2 linked regions of the Notamacropus eugenii genome follow. Each later gene encodes a partner of the first gene's protein in a complex. Links are inferred from orthologs where the notes say so. Each region holds a gene or a part of one and is shown on either strand. Other genes may lie near its edges. The genes, in order: WASHC1 and WASHC3.

What was found.
Region 2: WASHC1 (region 1) and WASHC3 share a complex: the UniProt entries of both Homo sapiens proteins name them as parts of the WASH core complex. The link is inferred for Notamacropus eugenii from reciprocal best matches to the Homo sapiens genes WASHC1 and WASHC3.

The regions. Positions count from the first base shown.
Region 1 is NC_092874.1:203,308,409-203,316,172, reverse strand, and holds the start of WASHC1 (WASH complex subunit 1), read left to right. Parts: upstream 1-4,651; 5' UTR 4,652-4,718; coding exon 4,719-4,785; exon of another isoform or gene 4,786-5,089; intron 5,090-5,172; exon of another isoform or gene 5,173-5,807; intron 5,808-6,062; exon of another isoform or gene 6,063-6,125; coding exon 6,126-6,279; intron 6,280-7,764. UniProt on the Homo sapiens protein: Acts as a component of the WASH core complex that functions as a nucleation-promoting factor (NPF) at the surface of endosomes, where it recruits and activates the Arp2/3 complex to induce actin polymerization, playing a key role in the fission of tubules that serve as transport intermediates during endosome sorting.
Region 2 is NC_092874.1:284,999,444-285,006,605, reverse strand, and holds the start of WASHC3 (WASH complex subunit 3), read left to right. Parts: upstream 1-3,993; 5' UTR 3,994-4,158; coding exon 4,159-4,209; intron 4,210-4,788; exon of another isoform or gene 4,789-5,164; coding exon of another isoform or gene 5,165-5,191; intron 5,192-6,790; coding exon 6,791-6,889; intron 6,890-7,162. UniProt on the Homo sapiens protein: Acts as a component of the WASH core complex that functions as a nucleation-promoting factor (NPF) at the surface of endosomes, where it recruits and activates the Arp2/3 complex to induce actin polymerization, playing a key role in the fission of tubules that serve as transport intermediates during endosome sorting.

The sequences.
Region 1 (7,764 bases):
CCCTAAGAGGAGGTTCTGTGATGGAGCTGATAGAGGCTCTGGAGAGGGAATCCTACTTGCAAGTCCAGGGCAGAAAAGAGCGCTTGTTGCTCCCAGACCACAGTGTAGGTCAGGAGAAGAGTAAATTCCTCTCCTTTGATTGTGCCACCTTGGAGGAACTGAGAACTTACAGGTCCCTAGAGTATACCCTCCACTTGACAAAGGATTCAAAAGACAAGTAATTGGCTGGGAAAATGCCCAAAAAAGGGGAAAAAATAAGATTATAGAAAGTTCTTTTCTTGGTGAAAAGATATTTTATTTAAAAGAAGGCAAGGGGGAAGGGGATAGGAGAGGGAAGGTAATAAAAGGGACAGCATATTGGGGAAAAAGATAATCAGAAGCAAACACTATTGTGGGAGGACAGGTTAAGGGAGAGAATGGAATAAATGAAGGATAGGATCAGACAGAGAGAAATGTGGTTAGTCTTTTTCAACATAACTATTATGGAAGTGCTTTGCATTGTTACACATGTATGACGTATAATGAATTACTTATTTTCTCAATGTGGGAGGGGAGGGAGGGAGAGAATATGGAACTCAAAGCTTTAAGAATGAATGTTAAAAATTGTTTTAGCATGCAAGTGGAAATTAAGCTATACAGGCAATGGAGTGTAGCAATCTATTTTACCCTACAGGAAAATAGAGGGAAAGGGGGATGGAAGAGCAGGGTGAGTAGTAGAAGGGAGACAGACTAGAGGAAGGAGTGGATAGGGTGCATGCTGTCCTGGGGTGGAGGGTAGGGAGAGATGGGGAGAAAATTTTGAATTCAAATTCTTATGGAAGCGAATACTAAGAACTGAAAAATAAATAAATTATATATTAGAGAAAAAAATTCTCTCTGAGCATGTTTCCTCTTCATCCATAAAAGAGATAAAAACATTTGCATTACCCCTAACTGGGTTCTTGTGAAGAAAGCACTTTATAAACTGTAAAATACTACCCAAATGTGAACTATTACTCCTCTGTGAACAAGACCCCCTCCCTAGAATCTCCAGGTTCTCCATGTCACCCTCACCCCCCTTTCCTTTACCCTATGCTTCAGTCTTTTTTCTGTGTTAAGCAGCTCATCTGTCCTTGTCTACCATTCTGATGCTGTCCATTCCTATAGTTTTCCTTCTTCCCAGGGCATTGTTGCTTGGGAGCAAACAGAGCCTGAGTTAATCCATTCTAGAGATTAATCCCACTGCCCTGCTTTCCTGGCTTCCACACAAATGGGATTTAGGTATTCTAGATGCCATTCTGGGAGAAGAGAGTACTGAGGGGAAAAGTAGGGAAAAGGGTACCCCAGGTCAATGCAAGTACAATAATAGTCCATAATTTCATACCATCACTATTACCAAAAAACAACTGCTGGCATTTATTAGAGAGCTGCAAAACAAAATATGTGAAATTCCAGGAAGAAGGTTTTTACCTACTTGTTGAAAAGTGGGTTTTGATAATGATGACACAGGCCTTAGCAACTAGGAAAGGCACAGCCCCAAGAATGTATATTGTATGAAGTGTATCCCCATGCTATGGGGGTATTGTGAAGAGGGGAGCCAGGTACAAGGCTTGGGGCTAAGAGAAGTTCTTGAAGTGCTCTGCGCTTAGAAATCAGTGCTTTCTTTATGAGATCATAGGGTTTGGAGCTAAGAGGGGGAGGGGAACACTTCAAGATCTAGTTCAATCATCTTATTTTATAATGAGGTGTTTTATAAAATTTATAAGGAAAATGAGACCTGTAGAGATTAAGTGATATGCCCAAGGTCATAGAAGTAGTAATAGAAGCAAGATTCAAACTTAGATCCTCTTACTTCAAATCCCCTCCAGGATCAAAAATGAAATTCTGTTTGGCTTTTAAAGACTATGTTAACAGAATTTTACTGTACCAGTCTCTAACCTGGGAATGGCAGAATGAGAAACAGAGCAAATTGGAGATACACATGCCAGCAATCAAGTAGCAGTCAAGTAGATGGTAGGCGAGCTCTTCATGCTAGAATATAGGAAAAAAAAATTTTCAACTTTTTATTTTTTAATTAATTTTTAAAATTATTTTGTTTTCAGAGTTCTACAATCACTTCCATATATCTTATATTTTTTCCCTCCCTCCCTCTCCTTCTTCACTCCCTCCCTGAGAGGGCATACAATTTTATACAGGTTCTACACAAACATTCCTATTAAATACATTTTCACCTTAGTCATGTTGCATAGAAGAATTAAAATGAATGGGAGAAATCATAAAACAAAACAAAACATAATACAAAAGAAACTGGTGTGCTTCATTCTCCAATGCAATTCCATAGTTCTTTCTCTGGATGTGGAAGACATTTTACCTCAAGAATTGATTGGAAATTTTTTAAGTCCTTGCATTGCAATGAAGTTCTAAGTCTACCAGAAAATATCCTTGCACGCTGTGGTTGTTGTTGTGTATAAAGTTCTCCTGGTTCTGCTCTTTTCACTCAGTATCAGTTCATATAAATCTTTCCAGGCCTCTCTGAAGTCTTCCTGTTCATCATTTCTTATAGCACAATAGTATTCCATTACATTCATATACCATAATTTATTCAGCCATTCCCCAGTTGATGGGCATCCCCTTGATTTCCAGTTTTTGGCCACCACAAAGAGAGCTGCTATAAATATTTTTGTACATGTGGGACCTGGGGATACTGTCCTAGAAGCGATATTGCTGGGTCAAAGGATATACACATTTTTGTGGTACTTCTGGCATAGTTCCAGATTGCTCTGCAGAATGGATGGATCAGCTCACAGCTCCACCAACAATGAATGAGTGTTCCAACTCTCCCACATCTTCTCCAACAATTATCATCTTCCTGTTTTGTCATGTTAGACAATCTGGTAGGTGTGATGTGGTACAGGAAAAAATTTTATATGTAGACCACAATTGGGGCGGAAGAGAGGAAGGAGGATTACAACACAATCATTTCTAGGTCCTGCGCAGTTTTCCATGGTAAATTCCCAAATGCGGGACAATACAGGTGCTCTCCAGCCCTGTGAGAACAGTTCTTATCTCAAATGTTGGAGGTTCTCATTACCTGGAGGGGCTCAGAACCAGAGTTCTGTGACAGGAACAGAGTTTACAGTCTGTGATTCAATTCACTTAAAGTACACAAGGATAACCGTGTGGAAAGCATCAGCGTCACTGACAGCTTTAAGCTGCATCATGAGTCTCTTGACTAGCAAGCCGGAATCTGCTAGGAAAATGGGAGCTCTGAGAAACCCAAACGATCAGTATATTCATGACACATCATGTCGATTAATATGAGAATCATATGTCCCCTTACGCCTCTTACGTCCTGGTCTCTTCCTACTTTCCCATTCTTCTTACACCTTGCTCCCCCACGGCCCCGCCCCCACCAGGTACCCTGTAACCCTCCTCCAACCTGTGCCAACTCTATGAATTCCCTCTGAGTGCCCCCACATCTGGCACTTTCTCCGCTCCCCTCTGGCTCCTGGGCTCCCTGGTTTTGTCACATCTCCAAGTCCCACCCTTCCCAGCGCTCCTTTATCTTAGAGCCAGCCCTATTAGGCTATCTCCAATTTATCTTCCATAAATACATTTCAGTAACCTTGCAGGAATATACATTTGCGTAGTTGCTTGCATTTGTTTCTCCCTCTGGACTTTGGGGCTGTTCTTTGCCCGTTTTTGAACCCCCGGAACTTCGCAGGCCTGGCACGTGGCTCACCCGGAGGCCTCCCATCTCCAACCCCAGGGGTCCTGGGAGGCCCCCTCTTCAGCCTCAGCTTCCTAGAGACCCCAGGACCCTAGCCGGCAGCCGGCGCCTCGGGGGCTTGTGCTCTGTCACGGCTGGTTCCCGGCACAGCAGACAAGGGGTTCTTAACCGAGGACTCTGTGGCTTCCTTACAATCACTTCTCCTCGGTTAACCCGGGGTTGCCCCGCGGATGGAGCAGGAGGGCCCCGCCCCGCTCCGGGCTCCGGGCCCGGGCGCTCAGCCTGTCTACACCGGCGTCCCCGGCCGCGTCACATGGGGGCATTCGGGGAGGGGTCTGTCGGCGTCACCCAACGGCCCGAAGCGTCTAAGGTACACAAGCGTTAAGGGCCGGGGCAGCAGGCAGCGCGTGCCCGCAGGCCCGCGGACTGACCTCGGGCGGCCGGTCGGGACACACCCCGGGGATCCGGGATTCCCCCGATCAGCTATTCTAACTTAAGGTGGCGTGTCAGAGCGGGTCCACGGACGGCCGCCTGACCAGCCCGTTATACCATGGTGGGGGGCTTCCTACCCTCAGATCTGTGACTTAAGGAGGCTGGGGGTCGCTAGTTTCTTTGGCCGTTCTTGCTCCGGGGGCTCCCCACGAAGGGCTGCCTCGGGCCGGTGGCCCCGGGGGTTGAGCAGGGGGAGCCGGGGAAGGGGCAGTCATCGAAGGCAGGACGGATACCAGGGTAGGGAGACGATTGGACGCGGGAAAGGAGGAGGAAGAGGGCGACAGAGACTCGTGAGGCCCCGGGGCTGCTCAGGAGTCCGGCTCGCGGGGAGGGAGGCTCCCAGGCTCACTCGGGGAGCGACAGCCGGGCGCTAGGACCCGGCAGCTGAGGGAGGAGGAGGGAGGCGGAAACGAAGGACGTCAGGCTCCCGCCGGGCGGCTGGCCCAGGCCCGGGGCGTCCAGGTGCAGAGGAGAGGCCGCGCGCCTGGGCCAAGCTGGGGGGGGCAGGGGCGGTTGAATGGGTCAGAGGCCCGGGGGCGGGAAGAAGATTTCTGCGTGGGGAGAGAAGCACGCGAGAGGTCGGAGTACGCAGCGACTCCTCCGGTCCCCCAAAGCAGGGACAGGCCGGAGGGGCCGAGAGCTGGGCCCTGAGGAGGCGGGGAGGGGCCGTCCTATCAGGGATCCCCCACCGCCCCCGCTCCCGGAAGCCCGCCCCACGCGCCGTCCCGGCTTTCACGTGACCCCGCAAACACCTCCCCCCCACCCTGTCGCGGCACGTTCACTGTGATCCTGCCAGGCCTGAGACTACGGTGTCCTCAGACGGCCAACCCCACCCCTACCTTGGAACTCGCCGGTTGGGAGTGCCCCTACTGGTCCGGCTCTAGTGACGTAATGTGCTGTGGGGACCCCCACCCCCCTTCTACCCTCTTGCGGCTGGAGCTTTAAGCCCCCGGGGGGGCGGGGCGGGAGGCAGAACGAGGCTAGGGGGCGGCTGGGGGTGGGGAGCCCAGGCTTCCGCGTCCGCAGGCCCTGCTCGGTGGAGGAGTGGGGGCTTGGAGGGGCCCGAGCCCAGGCAGCCTCTTGCACTTTTACCGGCCCCCTCCCGCCTCGTTCCTTCCGCAGTGTGGGGTAGGGGCCCCGCGGGGTCACCCGGCATGGTCACCCCGAGGCAGGCCCCCCTGATTGCCATCTCCCATCCCAGCCCCCCTGCGTCGCAGACTAGGGGCCGCGGGGCCTGGCGCCGGGCTGCCGGTGTCCTCCTCGCCCCTTTCGGGGCCAGGGCCGTGATTAGTCCTATTTATAGGGGCTCTCGCCTTAGTATTCCGCCCGGCACTTGTCTGGCCCATCACACCCGCACCGTCTGCGGGGTGACGGCGCTTCCGTGGCCCCAGGGAGCCGACTTCATTAAGCCAAGTATAAATAGACTCTGCCGTCGCCTGGCAGTTGGCTCGTGCTTCTCCTCGCCCCCTCCTCCACCTCCACCTCCACCCGGGCCTGCACTCGGCCTACTTTGCTGTGCCGGCCTGGGTCACCTGGGCCACCTGAGCCACCTGAACCGCACCTGGTTAGTCTGCCAGGGGCTCGGCTTTGATTCCGGCAGCCAAAGGTCAAGCGCGGTGAAGTCCCAGGAGCATGGGGCTGCCCTCTCCTTCCACCTGCCCCTCCGTTCTCTCCCCACAGCCTTCCCCGCTCGGGCTTTCTCTTGTGTGCTCCAGCCCCATTCCTCCCCCCTTTTCACTCCTCGGTCCACCTCCTCTCCAGCCTCTCCCTCTCTGCAGCACCCCCTAACCCACAGTACCCCCACACTCCTCCGCTGTGCAAGAAAGGTATCAGATCCACCGCGTTTGCCCTCCTCCCACAGGTGCGTACGCGGCCAGGGACTTCCGAGGCGCTGGGCACGTCTGACTTTGCCCCTCTCCCGCAGGCACCATGAGCACCATGACGCAGACACACTACCCAGAGGGCCAGGCCTACTCCGTGCCCTTGATCCAGCCCGATCTCCGAAGAGAAGAGGCCATCCAGCAGGTGGCAGATGCCTTACAGTACCTCCGTGAGGTCTCTGGTGACATCTTCAGCAGGTGGGCATGGCTCAGGGCACAGTGGACACAGGCACATACCAAGGAAACTCATTTCCCCAAGGAGGGGAGGACGCTAGAACCTGGGAGGGAGAGGTTTCAAAGGAAAGCTTTGCTCACCACCTGATTTAAAAAAAACCTGGGGGTATCAGAACAAGGGTACTTGAAGGAACCCTTGAAGAAAGGGAAAGACTCTATAAGACAAAGGTGTGGAGAGAGTATATTCCAGGCATGAGAGAAAACCTCTGTAAAGGCATAGAGATAGGAGATCAGATAGTCCATATGGAGAACAATAAGTAGGCCGGTTAGGCAGGACTGTAGAGTGTGTGATAAAAGTAATGTGCCATAAGCCTGAGAAAGTAGGCTAGAGTCAGGATGTAAAAGGTTTTAAACGCCAAACAGGAGCCTGTATTTAGTCACAGAGGCAAGAGGGAGTGCTGAGTTTCTTGAGCAGGGGATGATAAGGTCATAGCTGTCTGTGCCTAAGGAATTACTTTGGCAGCTGTGTGGAGGATGGGGATGGCTTGAAGTCAGGAAGACAATAGGAGGCTGTTGTGTATCCAGGTAAGAGGTGATGAGGACCTAAACTAGGCTAAGGGGATGGATATGAGATATGTTTGACAACTGATTGGATAATGAGATTGAGGTCCACTAAAACTCACAAATCTTTTTCAGAAAAACTACTGTCCGACCACGGTTCCTTTATCTTATACTTTTGAAGTTGGGGTGGGTAGGGGTTTTAACCTAAGTGTAAGGCTTTCTGTTTATCTGTCAAATTTCATATTATTAGATGAAGCTCAATATTCTAACCTGGAAAGATCCTTTTGAATCCAAACTTTGGCATTCAATATATTAGCTATCTTCCTGAGCCTTGTGTCATATGAAAATTTGACAAGCATGCCACCTGCGCCTTTCTTTGTCATTGATAAAAATGTCCAGCAGTACAGGGACAAGCATAGGTCCCTGGGGCACGTCACTGGAGATAAGCTACCAAGCTGACATCGAACCATTGCCATTCAACCAGTTCTGAGTCACTGTAATTGCATCTAGCCCATATCGCTCATCTTTTCCATAAGAACAGCATGATGTGTTATCAAATGATTTGCTTAAAATCTGGGCAGATTATGTCTACAGTATTTCCTGAACCATTAGCTTAGTTACTCTTTCAGGAAGGAAAATAAGGTCAGTGTGTTCACCGTCCATCTCTTTAGTAATCAATTTTAGAATTTTTCCCTGAATTGGAGTCAAGTTCACAGCCCCGCAGTTTGCAGACTCTGTTCCCTGTCTCAAAAATTAGGACATTTGTTCTTCTCTAGTCAGTCAGCCAACAAGCATTTATTAAGCACCTTCTTTGTGCTGGGCATTGGGGATACACAGACTAAAGTTAAACTTGCATTGTCAGGGGAGACACTGTGATCATAGCTGGGGAGAACTATAAGGACCTTAGAGTCTATCTAGTCCAAACCTTCTCAGTTTACAAGTGAGGGA
Region 2 (7,162 bases), about 82 Mb from region 1:
TGGAAAAGGAGGTTCAAAAGCTCACTGAGGAAAATAGTTCTTTCAAAATTAGAATGGAACAGATGGAAGCCAATGACTTTATGAGAAACCAAGAAATCACAAAACAAAACCAAAAGAATGAAAAAATGGAAGATAATGTGAAATATCTCATTGGAAAAACAACTGACCTGGAAAAGAGATCCAGGACAGACAATTTAAAAATTATGGGCCTACCTGAAAGCCATGATCAAAAAAAGAGCCTAGACATCATCTTTCATGAAATTATCAAGGAAAACTGCCCTGAGATTCTAGAACCAAAGGACAAAATAAGTATTCAAGGAATCCACAGATCACTGCCTGAAAGAGATCCAAAAAGAGAAACTCCTAGGAACATTGTGACCAAATTCCAGAGTTCCCAGGTCAAGGAGAAAATATTGCAAGCATCTAGAAAGAAACAATTCAAGTATTGTGGAAATACAATCAGGATAACACAAGATCTAGCAGCTTCTACATTAAAGGATCGAAGGGCATGGAATAGGATATTCCAGAAGTCAAAGGAACTAGGACTAAAACCAAGAATCACCTACCCAGCAAACCTGAGTATAATACTTCAGGGGAAAATTGGTCTTTCAATGAAATAGAGGACTTTCAAGCATTCTTGATGAAAAGACCAGAGTTGAAAAGAAAATTTGACTTTCAAACACAAGAATGAAAAGAAGCATGAAAAAGTAAATAGCAAAGAGAAGTCATAAGGGACTTTACTAAAGTTGAACTGTTTACATTCCTACATGGAAAGACAATATTTGTAACTCTTGAAACTATTCAGTATCTGGGTACTGGGTGGGATTACACACACACATGCACACGCACACGCACACACACATAGAGACAGAGTGCACAGAGTGAATGGAAGAGGATGGGATCATATCTTAAAAAAATGAAATCAAGCAGTGAGAGAGAAATATATTGGGAGGAGAAAGGGAGAAACGGAATGGGGCAAATTATCTCTCATAAAAGAGGCAAGCAAAAGACTTATTAGTGGAGGGATAAAGAGGGGAGGTGAGAGAAAAACATGAAGTTTACTCTCATCACATTCCACTAAAGGAAGGAATAAAATGCACACTCATTTTGGTATGAAAACCTATCTTACAATACAGGAAAGTGGGGGATAAGGGGATAAGCAGGGTGGGGGGGATGATGGAAGGGAAGACATGGGGAGGAGGGAGCAATTTGAGGTCAACACTCATGGGGAGGGACAGGATCAAAAGAGAGAACAGAAGTAATGGGGGACAGGATAGGATGGAGGGAAATATAGTTAGTTCTTATTATGGAAGTCATTTGCAAAACTACACAGATTTGGCCTATATTGAATTGCTTGCCTTCCAAAGGGAAAGGGTGGGGAGGGAGGGAGGAAGAGAAGTTGGAACTCAAAGTTTTAGGAACAACTGTCGAGTACTGTTCTTGCCACTAGGAAATAAGAAATACAGGTAAAGGGGTATAGGATAGAGACAAGGGCAGAGAGGGATGATAAAAGAGAGGGCAGATTGGCAGACGGGCAATTAGAATGCTCGGTGTTTTGGGGTGGGGGGAGGGGACAAAAGGGGAGAAAATTTGGAACCCAAAATTTTGTGAAAATGAATGTTAAAAGTTAAATAAATAAAGAAAGAAAGAAGGAAAAAAAATAAATTAAATAAATAAAGTCATTGTTGACCTCTCAAAAGTTGCCTTTCCTTTTAGAAAAGCTGACCGTAGAACACATGATAGCAGGCCCTCCTCTGTATGTAGGGGCACTTGGTTCTACACCAGTTTGATCTTTCATGGTTCTTTCCAAAAAGAAACTCATCACAACTAGATGGTAGAGATGGTAGACGCTCTACCAAAGGATCCAGTCTCTGGTCTGAAATGGTACATCGTCTTCTCCAGACAGGGGAGAGGTTAGTGGTGCAATCATCTTACCCCTTCTTTGTGGGAGGCAAAAAATACATTTACACTGTGGTACAAGCAATCACGGGAATCACAGTTTCCAGCTGTCCTTTGGTCACTGACCAAAAGGCTTTGGGCAATTTCCCTGGTGACTGCTTTGAAATCTACCTATGCAATAGTGTCAACTTCACGTCATATAAAAACATATATACTGTGATGGGAACATATTCATCACTATAGTGTTTAGTCATCTGAATTCATCAAAAGATAAAAGAACCATCATGTGTGCTGTTCTTGTCTTTATAGTTTTAGAGAGCACATGACAACTTACAAGGCCTCACAACAATCCTATAAAACAAATGGCACCATTACTCACATTTTACAGATTAGGAAACTGAGGCTGAGAGTAATTGCCTTGCCCAGGATCACACCACAAAAATGTGGCTATGGCAGAATCAAAACTCAGGTCTCCCCTTCTCCATCCACTTTGCCATTCAGTTGCCCTAAGGAGACAGCCTAGCTCTGTGTCACTATGCCCAGCATGGCCTTGGATTGTACTTCTGAAAAACCCTTCATAATAGGCTTCACACAGTCTGTGGATCAGAGATGCTGAAGTTTGCTCATGGCCTTAATAATTCCACTTAACTTTCTTTTTTCCCTTGAACCCAGTTTTCCTACGAACAGGCTGATGTTCATTCAAGGGGGAGTTTAAGCAAGGGCCCTCTGGATACTTCTAGTACTGAAATGTTGTTTCATATCCCAGAGAAAAGGGATGTCTCTTGCCACCTTCACACCCAATCACACTAGTTACATGGGCAGCTAGATGGCACAGAATAGAGTGCTGGGCTTGGAATCAGGAAGACTCATCTCATGAGTTCAAATCCTGTCTCAGACACTGACCAGCTCTGTGACCCTGGTCAAATCACTTAACCCTGTCTGCCTCAGTTACTCACCTGTAAAATGAGGGTGAGAAGGAAATGGCAAACCTCCTAGTATCTTTGCCAAGAAAACCCCAAATAGCTCAAACAGTCAGATGTAACTAACAACAATACACATTAATTGCATTCAGAAACCCGTGCAGAGTAGTTATCACTTCTATTCTCAAAGCTACAAAGATCTAGCACCAGCAGTTTCCATTATTCAGAGCACAGATCAACTGTGCTCTGAATAATAACTAACTCCAATTAAATATCAGTCCACTATGAATCCATATATTAGGCAATCTCCCTGGGCCTCAGTTTTCTCTATGGTAATGTAATGGAATTTGAACTAGATTGCCTTTGGGGTTACTCAGCTCTGGAGCCATGACTTTATACACAGGTATGGCTGACTACATGGTCAGTGGACCTGAGATATGGAAAACTAGCTACCTAAGCTCCCTCCCACCTCTGGAGTCAAGCCCCTAAGTACAGGTGTGGTTACCTGGCCACCTGAACTCCTTCCCTACTCTGGAGGCATGATCCTAAATGCAGGTGTGGCTACCTGGTCACTTCTCAGCTCTAGAGTCAAGCCCCTAAGTACAGGTGTGGTTACCTGGCCACCTGAACTCCTTCCCTACTCTGGAGGCATGATCCTAAATGCAGGTGTGGCTACCTGGTCACTTCTCAGCTCTAGAGTCAAGCCCCTAAGTACAGGTGTGGTTACCTGGCCACCTCTTAGGTTTGGAGTTGAGTCTAAAAATGTGTGCGGTCACATGGTTACCTGGAGCCAGCTGTCAGCCCAGGACTAAGTGTGGCTACCTGGTCACTTCTCAGCTCTAGAGTCAAGCCCCTAAGTACAGGCGTCGTCACCTGGCCACCTGCGGCCACCTCTCAGCTCTGATCCTAAATTCACACGTGCTTACCTGGCCACGTGATCTCTCTTTCTAGCTCTGAGACTGACTTTAGTTGTATCCAAGTTTGACTGCAGCTCTCTTTCCGAGAACTGTTCTTGAGCATGCGCCATCAACTTTCCCAGTAGGAGAGTAGAGGAAAAACTACAATTCCCAGAAGGCTGTGCGGAAGGGACCAGGGGAGGTTGGTTTCTTCCGCAGACTCAGAGCCAATGGGAGGCTCTGGAACAAAACTACGACTCCCAAAGGGCCTTGCGAGCGGGGCTCAGTTGGTCTTCTCCGCAAGCGCAGACACCTCGGCTGTTAGCTGAGTCCACTTCCGGGGGGAAAGGGCCGTGGTACCTCAGACTGAGGCTGCCAGTCGGGACCCGCTCCCGTTGTCCGGGCTGGGAAAGCAGGGGGCTTGGGGCCCGCTCGCCGGGGCCATGGACGAGGACGGGCTGCCTCTGATGGGGTCGGGCATAGACCTGACCAAGGTTGGTAGGGGAGGAGGGTCGCTTCCGGGGCTCCCGGGGTCACGGAGACCCTTCCTCTAGCTTGACGGAGGAGGAAACTGAGGCCCAGAGAGAACACTTGGAGTCCGCGTGACCGTAGGCAAGTCACTTCTGCTCTCTGAATCGCCCTTGCCCCATCTGTAAAATGAGGGGGTCAGGCTCCGAGGGCCCGGCTCTAGATCCGTGATCCTGGGATCCTGCCTCAGTTTCCCCATCTGTAAAATGGGGGGTCAGACTCCAAGGTCCCAGCTCTAGATCCGTGATCCTGAGAATTTTTCTGTGCCTCGGTTTCCCCATCTGTAAAATGAGGGGGTCAGGCTCCGAGGGCCCGGCTCTAGATCCGTGATCCTGGGATCCTGCCTCAGTTTCCCCATCTGTAAAATGGGGGGTCAGACTCCAAGGTCCCAGCTCTAGATCCGTGATCCTGAGAATTTTTCTGTGCCTCGGTTTCCCCATCTGTAAAATGAGGGGGTCAGGCTCCGAGGGCCCGGCTCTAGATCCGTGATCCTGGGATCCTGCCTCAGTTTCCCCATCTGTAAAATGGGGGGGTCAGACTCCAAGGTCCCAGCTCTAGATCCGTGATCCTGAGAATTTTTCTGTGCCTCGGTTTCCCCATCTGTAAAATGAGGGGGTCAGGCTCCGAGGGCCCGGCTCTAGATCCACGATCCTGAGAATCTTTCTGTGCCTCGGTTTCCCCATCTGTCATCCAGAAGGAACCTTAGAGGGGGCCATCCAGTCCAATAAGAAAACTGAATCCTACAGAAAACGCAAGTGACTTGCTGACGTCCCACCCGAGCTGGCCTTCTGACCCCCGCCCTGTGCTCCTTGTGTGACCAGGAGTCACAGCTCCTAGACTGAAAGGCAGAGGAGCACAGCTGGCCCGTGCCTCCCTTCTGTGCAGTGTTTAGTGGCACGCCTGAGGTCACAGACAGAGGAGATGCGCATCCAGGCCCTTGGACTCCAGGTCTGTGTCCTGCCAGGGACCAGCGACCACTTGGGCCACATGGTGGTGGTGGAACCACACCCTTCCTTCCTCTGCCCTTCTCCTCCTTCAGAACGCAAGAAGCTGTTTTGTTTTATTCCCTGGTCAGTGGGAGGCACACAGCTGGGTTCCACCGGCCAGCCTCCCAGACATGGCCCCAGAGCTTGGGACAGGCCTGGAGGGAGGCACTGAATACGCTGGAGGATTTTCTTTACTTGTTAGTTGGTTGCTAAGTGGCGTGGTCCTTCCTGCTTAAAGCCTAGGTGTTTGAGAAGATTGTGTTCCTTGGCCATTTTTTCTGATTGTTTTTCATTAATTCTGATGTTTAATTCAACCCTCTCCTTTAACATAGGTGGAAACTGAGTCCGGAAAAGTGACTAACCCAAGCTTACGCAACCACAGAACTAAGCCTCCAGGCTCAAACAAGACCCTCCACCTCTCCCCTCCAGACATTTTCTTTGGCTGTTCCCCATTCCAGGAACGTTCTCCCTCTTTCATTCTAGGTTTTTCTACCAGGCACCATTATTTATTATTCCTCTTCATTCCTATTTATCCTGTAGGTAACTTGCTCTGCATGTTTTTGTTCCCCGCTTTAGTTTATAAATTCCTGGAGGACAGCGACTGACTTTTGCCTCCTTTTGTAACCCCATTACTTAGCATAGCCTGGCACATAATAGGTACTTAATAAATGTTTATTGATTGATTGAAACCCAGATCCTCTTAATTCCAAATTGAGGATCTTTTCTGGGCACTAAAATGTCACCAAGTGTCATTGATCCCAAGCCAACACCTTAAATTACAAATAATCAAACTCCTGAATGGGTTATAAAAAGAGGTCATCCTGTCTATCTTTGAATGGCTCCTAGAAGAGTAATTCTTTCCCAGAATTCCCCATTTCTGCAGGTTGCAGAGATAAGTATTCACTACTTAGACCTGTCTCACCTCATAATCCATTTTAATTTTCTCATTAAAAAAAAATATTTTTTTTTTCAATGCAGATTCTCCGTACTCTGAATCTTGTGTCTCTCGGTCAACTTCAGACTTTGCCATAGAGCTGCATGGTGTAGTGGAAGAAATCCTGGGTTCAGGGCTCAAAGTCTGGCCTTTTCATTTCTTTGTGCCCTTGGATGAGATGCTTCCTGGCTCTGAACTGTCTTTAATTGTTAGGGAGCATCTTGTATTGATCCAAGATCTGTCTTTACTCTTTGCGCCTAGTTTGGTTCCATAAGCTAGGCCAAGAAAGGAGAATTCTTTTTCCCTTTATTAACCCTTTAGTGCTTAAAGATAGCTCTCCTAGGATTTGTAGGAAAGGATCTAAGAAGTAATCTGTTCCAGCCTCCTCATTTTATACATAAGGAAACTGAGACCCCAAGAGGGGTAGTTCCTGGCCCAAAATGACACAGGTAGTGAGTTGCAAAGCCCAAACTGGAACCCAGGCCCTCTGACTCCAAAATGAGTGTTCCTGGCAGTGCTCTGAATCTCACACAAAGTACTGAACCGTTTTGAGCCTAGAAGCCCTTTCTCCTGCTCGAATTATTTTGTGTTTGTATGTTAATTATGTTGTGTTTTTACTTAATGCAGGTGCCAGCAATTCAACAGAAAAGGACTGTTGCATTTCTAAACCAGTTTGTGGTTCATACTGTACAATTCCTCAACCGCTTTTCTACGGTTTGTGAAGAGGTAGGTTGTTTGGTGTTTGTTCTTAGAGTGGCAGAGAAATGAGGGTGAATTTTTTTGTTGGAAAAGTGATTCTGGCATCAGGGCCAGTACTCATTTGTTCTGACCTCCAATTCACCTGAATTTGATTCTTGTTATTTGTAATTTTCTAGACATTTTACATGATTTTGTTTCTTCCTTCTGCTAGTTTAGAGTTTTGGATATTTTTAAGCAGTGGCCAGGCTTTCTGTGGTGGGTGGGAACAGTAAAATCTACCATTCTGGGGTGGATGAAGAA